2 linked regions of the Arabidopsis thaliana genome follow. The protein of the gene in region 1 interacts with the protein of each later gene in a pairwise test. Each region holds a gene or a part of one and is shown on either strand. Other genes may lie near its edges.

The links. Proteins that work in one complex are often made in the same cells at the same time.
Region 2: the proteins of DSS1(I) (region 1) and AT1G75990 interact in a two-hybrid assay, tested with the Arabidopsis thaliana proteins (one study listed by BioGRID).

Annotation. Positions count from the first base shown.
Region 1 is NC_003070.9:24,052,190-24,055,943, forward strand, and holds DSS1(I) (deletion of SUV3 suppressor 1(I)), read right to left. Parts: upstream 1,720-3,754; 5' UTR 1,654-1,719; exon of another isoform or gene 1,564-1,653; 5' UTR 1,524-1,563; coding exon 1,430-1,523; intron 1,207-1,429; coding exon 1,084-1,206; intron 729-1,083; coding exon 598-728; 3' UTR 173-597; downstream 1-172. Other genes in the region: TUA1 (alpha-1 tubulin), read left to right, coding at 1-107; AT1G64760 (O-Glycosyl hydrolases family 17 protein), read right to left, coding at 2,031-2,641, 2,724-3,223, 3,671-3,754. UniProt on the Arabidopsis thaliana protein: Subunit of the 26S proteasome which plays a role in ubiquitin-dependent proteolysis.
Region 2 is NC_003070.9:28,524,995-28,528,748, reverse strand, and holds the start of AT1G75990 (PAM domain (PCI/PINT associated module) protein), read left to right. Parts: upstream 1-1,900; 5' UTR 1,901-2,030; coding exon 2,031-2,109; intron 2,110-2,204; coding exon 2,205-2,395; intron 2,396-2,507; coding exon 2,508-2,645; intron 2,646-2,732; coding exon 2,733-2,869; intron 2,870-2,959; coding exon 2,960-3,125; intron 3,126-3,292; coding exon 3,293-3,532; intron 3,533-3,613; coding exon 3,614-3,754. Other genes in the region: AT1G76010 (Alba DNA/RNA-binding protein), read left to right, coding at 1-41, 135-244. UniProt on the Arabidopsis thaliana protein: Acts as a regulatory subunit of the 26 proteasome which is involved in the ATP-dependent degradation of ubiquitinated proteins.

The DNA of each region.
Region 1 (3,754 bases):
GAGAGTTCTCTGAGGCTCGTGAGGATCTTGCTGCCCTCGAGAAAGATTATGAGGAAGTTGGTGGAGAAGGAGCGGAGGACGACGACGAAGAAGGCGATGAGTATTAGAAAGACACAAGAGTGTGTGTTCCCTTGTTTCTTTCTTGTGAAGTACAGTAATTATGTCTTTGTGAATGTGATCTCTACAGTTATTTTGTGATGTTTACGGGTCTCTCCCCTTTTATTTCTCATTTGTGTTTACTAAAGGATTGCATTTCTAGTGCATCTCAATACATAGTTTGAAGGATTTTTGGCATTTCAAATACCGTTTACGCTCTAATAAAGATCCTTGTAAGAAAATGTACATAGTAAGTTAGTAACTAATCCATGTCCATACGGAACACACCGCAATGGATGTTGAGAGAAGATGATGATCTTACCAGTTTAAATTTATCATCTTCAAAGATAAGAAATTTCCATCCAGGGAATAGTAAAATGTGCAAAGGAAAAGCAGAACCGATAACATAAACCAAAGGATGCAGTACAAACAAAGTTCCAGATCATAAAAGAAAACCAAGATTTCCTAAATGTGAAGACCTGTCTTTCACAATCTTCGACCTTATTTCTTGTCAGTACCATTCTCAAGCTCCTTCCTTAACTGACGTGAGAAGTCGTCATTGACATCATCATCATCCCAGTCATCTTCCCACTGCTGGCTAACTTCCTTCACTTCTTCTTTCTCCAACCAATCTGCCCAACATAAAAAGATCCATCAGTATTTACTTTGACCGTAAAAGGACAGCAAAAACATCCATTCCACATCCAACTACACAACTCATACAAACAGAAACCCTCTTTATCAATTCTTTCAATAAAACTATTAGTAAAATCACAAAGCAAAATCTGTTAAACCTTTAGGCTACTCAATGCCCTCAAATAATTCCCAAATCCTCAATAACCTTTAGGCTTTAGTAAATGAAGCGTTGACTATTAAGACTAAACCTAATCATCAATAAGTTGCTGAAAAAAACTGCTCTTTTATCCATTTAGTAAGTATGAGACTATAGCTTCATTGTTAGAACTATATGAAAAAAGATCTATCAACCTATCTCACACCTGAAATTGACATCAAACAGATTCGTTTTCATATCAGACCTACTCAACTCATACACTAGTCCATCTTTATCAATCCTTTCAATACAACTACTAGTTAAATCTGAAGAATCAACTAACTTGCAAATCAAAATCTATTAAAATCAGAATCTGATACAATTCATACAAATAATTCTCAATTCAACCATATAAAGCATTGCCTGTATCTATCAATCAGTTGCTAATGAAAATCGCTCTTATATCTATGGCATCGTAGCTTCATCGTTAAGACTATAAAACCGATGATGAATCGATTCAAAAATCGAAGAAGAAACAAGTAATAACAACAAAAATTTTACCTTCGTTAATTTCAAATTCCTCGAACTCATCGTCGTCCTCAAACAGATCCATCTTTACTACTTCAGCAGTCGCTGCCTTCGGTTCTGCCGCCATAGTTACAGATTGTTAAAGGAACCAACCAGATCGAGATAACCTAAGAAGAAGAAGAGGAAGACGAAAACTCGATAAAATTTTCCAAGTTATTATTGCAAAAGCATGGAATTGATAATGATGAAACCCTAACCTCTCTGAGAGCTTTAACGAGAGAGTAAGCGAACTTTTGTTTTTCTTAAGAGAAGAAGCAAATAATAAAGGGAAGGTTTTTTCTTTTTGTATAGAACCGGTTCGACCGTGTTTTCCTTTTTGTGAATTTGTAAAATTTGATGGTTTTCTATTTATTTTTTAATTGCTAAAAGAAATTGTAACATTAATGAATTTGTAAAATAAAACTGTAGTGTAAAACTGTATTAAAATATCGATAGAACAAGTATCTGGATATTCCGATTTATCTAGGATTCAACTTCTAAGAACATGGACAAAAGAATCATTGTAATATATATATCTGTAAGAAAACAATTAGGCTCACAAAACCTCACTAAGTTCAACAAATTCAATCTAACCTCAAAACATCATCCCTGATAACAGAAACCAAACGATCAACACAACCAAAGAATAAGACGAACAAGAAAAAGAAGAGGCTGAGGAAGCCACAATCTGAATAGGGAAATTGCATTGTCCTTGAGATATATTCTGCGTTGTAATGGTGGCCAAACCTTGAAAATAGCAAGCACTCTCATCTTGATTCTTCACTTGAAAGAACATGTTAAACGCATACGACGCGTTTCCATTTGCATCAAGAGTATTGCAAGAAGATCCGTATCCAAGCGCCGTGCAATCAGAGAAAGTGCAGGCGTAATCTATATTAGCCGCGAGTTTTGTCAAGTCCTTGGCTTCTGGATTAAACGTACACCACTTGTTGGGTAGATACGGCACGTTTTGTGCACCAATCAAGAACTTACTCTGTCCTTGACCTGAAAGATCTATAGGAAACTTTGGTTGCCCGTCGAATTTAAATATTCCCCAATGGCGTTCGAACGGTCCCGGTGCTATACTTTTTGCATCCTCGTCGAGTAATCCGAACAAGTATACCTCAATGTAGGTTGGTCTCAATGGAGTTCCTTTGTTTGTTCCAAGCCTCGGTAAAAGCCCGTTGTAGAATCTGTAAGCACTGCCTGTGAAAAAACCGTTTTCAAAATCAAAACTAAAACACTTCATAAAGGATAAAAATCCATCTAAAGAAGGTCAGATATCAACCTGCATTAGCGTGTTTGTCACCCTCTGTTGGCCAACCAACTTCTCCAACGATTATTGGCATATCTCCGTGACCAACAGCTTTCAAAGACGACACCAAAGTATCGAAATTGGCATCGAAAACGTTTGTATAATCAATACCGTTGTCGTTTATCGGTTCAGCACCATCGAAGAAGGCGTAGTTGAGTGGGAAATCATCATTCCCATAGAGACTTAAGAAAGGGTAGATGTTAATTGTGATGGGAGCATTGTTCTTGCCAAGAAAGTCAACAATCTGAGTCATTTGACCGATGATATCGGGACGGAATCTTCCTGCAGATGGAACGGGATTGCTTGCTGGTGAATCGTATACATCCGCGTTTAAAGGGACTGTTGCTTTGACAGAGTTTCCTAGTCCGGCTTCATTTAAAGCGTTTTGAATGTTCGCAAGTGCAGGGAATGTGAGGTTTATGAACGATCCATTGTATGATTTGAGGAATGGCTCATTCCCAACAGCTACAAACCTGAAACACATCCACAAGTGATTAGCTTCACTGAGACATGTAAACACATTTTTCTCTAAACATGTTCTGCATTTTGACAGTACTGTTAAAAGATTTGACTTTTATAGATATAAATACATTTTAGTGGAAACAGGTTCTGCATTTGACAGTAGTGTTAAAAGATATTTGATTTCATAATCAGACAACACAGATTTCACCAGACATTGAAAATCAACCCTAAACATCCAATCTTCAGAAACAAACATATATAGCTAGACACATTTTGTCTATAGACATAACTCACTCATGGTTATGCATTTGGCAATGTCATAAACTAAACAACCATGGGTTTATGAGGTTTCGACAAACAAACACAAAGAATGTTAATTTTGACGTTTAGACAAACACTACAACCAATCAATAACAATAACATTGAGACAGAACAGAGAGGAAGAGAGACAAACTCACGTGATATTGACACCACCATCGAAGTTATAACGAGTGACATTCTTACGAACCCAATCTTTGGCTCGGTCGTAACTAGTCATAACC
Region 2 (3,754 bases), 4.5 Mb from region 1:
TTCTCAGGGCCGTGGTGGTTATGATGGTCCTCAGGGTCGTGGTAAAATAAATTAAAACATTCTGTATTCTTTTACCTGGTTCTTGAACTGTAATTGTGTGAAGAAGCCATGAGTTTTGAATTGGTTTGATGCAGGGCGTGGACGTGGACGTGGAAGGGGAGGACGTGGAAGAGGAGGAGGACGTGGTGGTGATGGTGGTTTCAACAACAGATCAGATGGACCACCAGTCCAGGCAGCTGCTTGAGAGTGAGGTTTCTCTTACACAAACATAAAAAGAAGAAAAAAGCCCAAGTCGTTGGATGTTTTTTTTCTATCTCCTTGTTCTCTCACTTTCTTTCTATGTTTGCTTCTTCTGTCCATCAAGAAGACATGTTTGCCATAAGTGTATCTCATTCCCCTTCTTTTTTTTTTACTATCCATTGATTGACAGTGTTTTAGCTTGTGGTCTGTTTTGTTTAGAGTCGCTTAGGAATATATGTTCAATTTATTTTATGGTTGGTCGTCGTCTTGGGTTTTTGTTAGAGAAGAACTACTGAGGCATCCTCTTTTCTTTTCTTTTTTCCTCTGTTTTGTAGTTTTGTTTAGGTGAGAGTGAGACACAGTTTGGACAAATTACCTCTTTTCTTTGGTTATCAGTTTTAATGTGATGGAACAGTTGATTCTTTTATTTCCAACAAGTACCCTTGCAAAGTTGAATTCTTATATAACATTATAACGAAAATAACTCACAAATGGAAGCAGATTTACACAGAGAGAGAAAAAAAATGGAAGTAGAAAGCCAGAAACCATCGATTCTCGAATTTGGGTTGATCTTCAAAATTCTAATGAGACAGACACAACAAAGGAAAGGAAGCTCATAGACTCGTCGACACCGTATTAACAATAGATTTACTCGATAAAAAAATGTTAGCGCCGTTGCCGGGGATCGAACCCGGGTCACCCGCGTGACAGGCGGGAATACTTACCACTATACTACAACGACTTTGATGTTCTAATTAATGACATTAATAGTATTAACAAACAAGATAATATCTGCCTTCAAGGGAAAGAAAAAAATAAAATGGAAAAATATAATTGGGAAAAATGTTGTTTTATATACGAACTTTCAAAAAGTGGCCATTTTATACGTGAACTCTGACGTCGGCCAAAATAAATATGAAAAATACGTTGACCAGCCATTTTAACAGAAACAAAACGTTGACCTGGCCAAAATCCCGAGACGTTAACTCGCATTAACAGACCCAATTAACCCCGTTAACAGCACGTTAATAAACTCTGTTAAAGCCGAAACGGTGTCGTTTTGTTCTAAACGAAACAAAACAAAATCCCCAAATCGAAAACTCAAACCCTAAGTCTTCATCTTCCCCAAATCGATTTCTTATATCCAACTTCTCTCAATCTATCTTCTTTGAGCTTCAACTCCGACAGAAGACTCTGCTACAACAACAGCCGGCAAAGCTAGAACTCCACCATCAAACTCCATCTCCGGTTTCAGCTACTCGTCGTGGTGGAACAGGAGCAATGTCGACTTCGCCTTCTATTGCTAAGGCAATCACAACAAGATTAATCGAAGAACAAACACGATTTTACCAATGAGAGAATTAGGGATTTGGTTTGAGAGAATTAGGGATTGAGTTTTCGATTTGGGCATTTTGATTTGTTTCGTTAGGTTTGAAACGACGGCGTTTTGGTCTTAACAGAATTCATTAACGTTCTCTTAACGGGGTTAATCAGCGAGTTAACGTCTCGGGATTTTGGCGAGGTCAACATTTTGTTTCTGTTAAAATGGCTGGTCAACGTATTTTTCATGTTTATTTTGGCCGACGTCAGAGTTCACGTATAGAATAGCTACTTTTTGAAAGTTCGCGTATAAAACAACATTTTTCCCAAATATAATTTGGTAATTTCTGTCTAGGAAAAGAAAAAGGAAAACATAAGAGTACTTATGTGTGCGTTAAGCCCTGCTCTTTTCAAATCAATTTTTAATTTACCTTCGTCAAGAAGAAGACGACTTGAGATTTGCGAAAAAGATGACTCAGGACGTAGAGATGAAAGATAACCAAACCCCAACGCAATCCGTCGTCTCTGCTCCTACCTCCACGCTACAGAGTAAATCTCTATCTTATGCTTCAGTTTCTCTTAATCTCACATTGCTAGGTTTGTTTCAAAATTGAATTCGTTGTACTGCTTTTTTTTTTCTCCAGATTTGAAGGAGATTGCAGCTCTGATTGATACTGGATCTTATACAAAGGAAGTCCGTCGTATTGCTCGTGCTGTGCGTCTCACCGTTGGACTACGAAGGAAGCTCACGGGTTCCGTGATCTCTTCTTTCCTTGATTTCGCTTTGGTTCCTGGATCTGAAGCTCACACTCGTCTCTCTTCTTTTGTGCCGAAGGTATGTGTAGCTTCACTTGTCCACTTTGATTACGAGCTTATCTAGGATCTGTAATTAGATTCATGTATTAGTGTTTGCCCTTAATTTGATGGAATTTATAATATTGGTACAGAGTGATGAACATGACATGGAAGTTGATACAGCATCATCGAATTCCCAAGCTCCTCCTAAGCATCTACCTGCAGAGCTCGAGATTTACTGCTACTTCATTGTTCTTCTTTTTCTCATTGATCAGAAAAAGTACAACGAGGTTTACTTCTTCTCTATCTCTCTAACTGACATACTTTATTTATAAATCTTGCTGTGGTCTTCATTGTTTTACTTTCTTTGCTTTCAGGCCAAAGTTTGTTCTACCGCTAGCATTGCTCGCCTCAAAAGCGTAAACAGGAGAACCGTTGATGTCATTGCTTCCAAATTGTATTTTTACTACTCCTTAAGTTACGAGCTAACTAATGATCTTGCAGAGATACGTAGGTGAGTACAAGTTCACAGTCATCTTTCAACTTTTATCATATTAGTTCAACACTCAATTATCTTATTAACTTGTCTCTCTTTCTGTTGCAGTACTCTTCTTGCTCTTCACCATTCGGCCACACTGCGCCACGACGAATTGGGCCAGGAAACACTTTTGAATCTGTTGCTTCGCAATTATCTACACTACAACCTGTACGACCAAGCAGAGAAGTTGAGATCAAAAGCGCCTCGATTTGAGGCACACTCTAACCAACAGGTAACCCTTTCATACATTCTAGTTTCTAATTCTAAGTTAATTGTGATGCTTACTTATGCCAACCTCTCTGATGCTTACTAATGCCAACTTTTCACTGTGAATTTCTCCAAACTACATTCACATGTTTCAACTAGAAACGATACTCATCTCGTTATATAAATTTACAGTTTTGTAGGTACTTGTTTTACCTTGGCAAGATCAGGACGATTCAACTTGAGTACACCGATGCAAAAGAGAGTCTCCTCCAAGCTGCTAGGAAAGCACCTGTTGCATCTCTGGGATTCAGAATCCAGTGCAACAAGTGGGCTATCATAGTTCGGCTGTTGTTGGGTGAAATACCTGAACGATCTATCTTCACTCAGAAAGGAATGGAGAAGACTCTTAGGCCATATTTTGAGCTGACCAACGTGAGTTCAATCTTTTTTACATTTCTAACATATGCTTTAATTAAGGTTTTCTTGCTAATACTCTTGTTTAAATTTTGTAAGGCTGTGAGAATTGGTGACTTGGAGCTGTTCGGGAAAATCCAAGAGAAGTTTGCCAAAACATTTGCGGAAGACAGGACTCACAACCTCATAGTCAGACTCCGACACAACGTGATCAGAACAGGACTGCGCAACATCAGCATT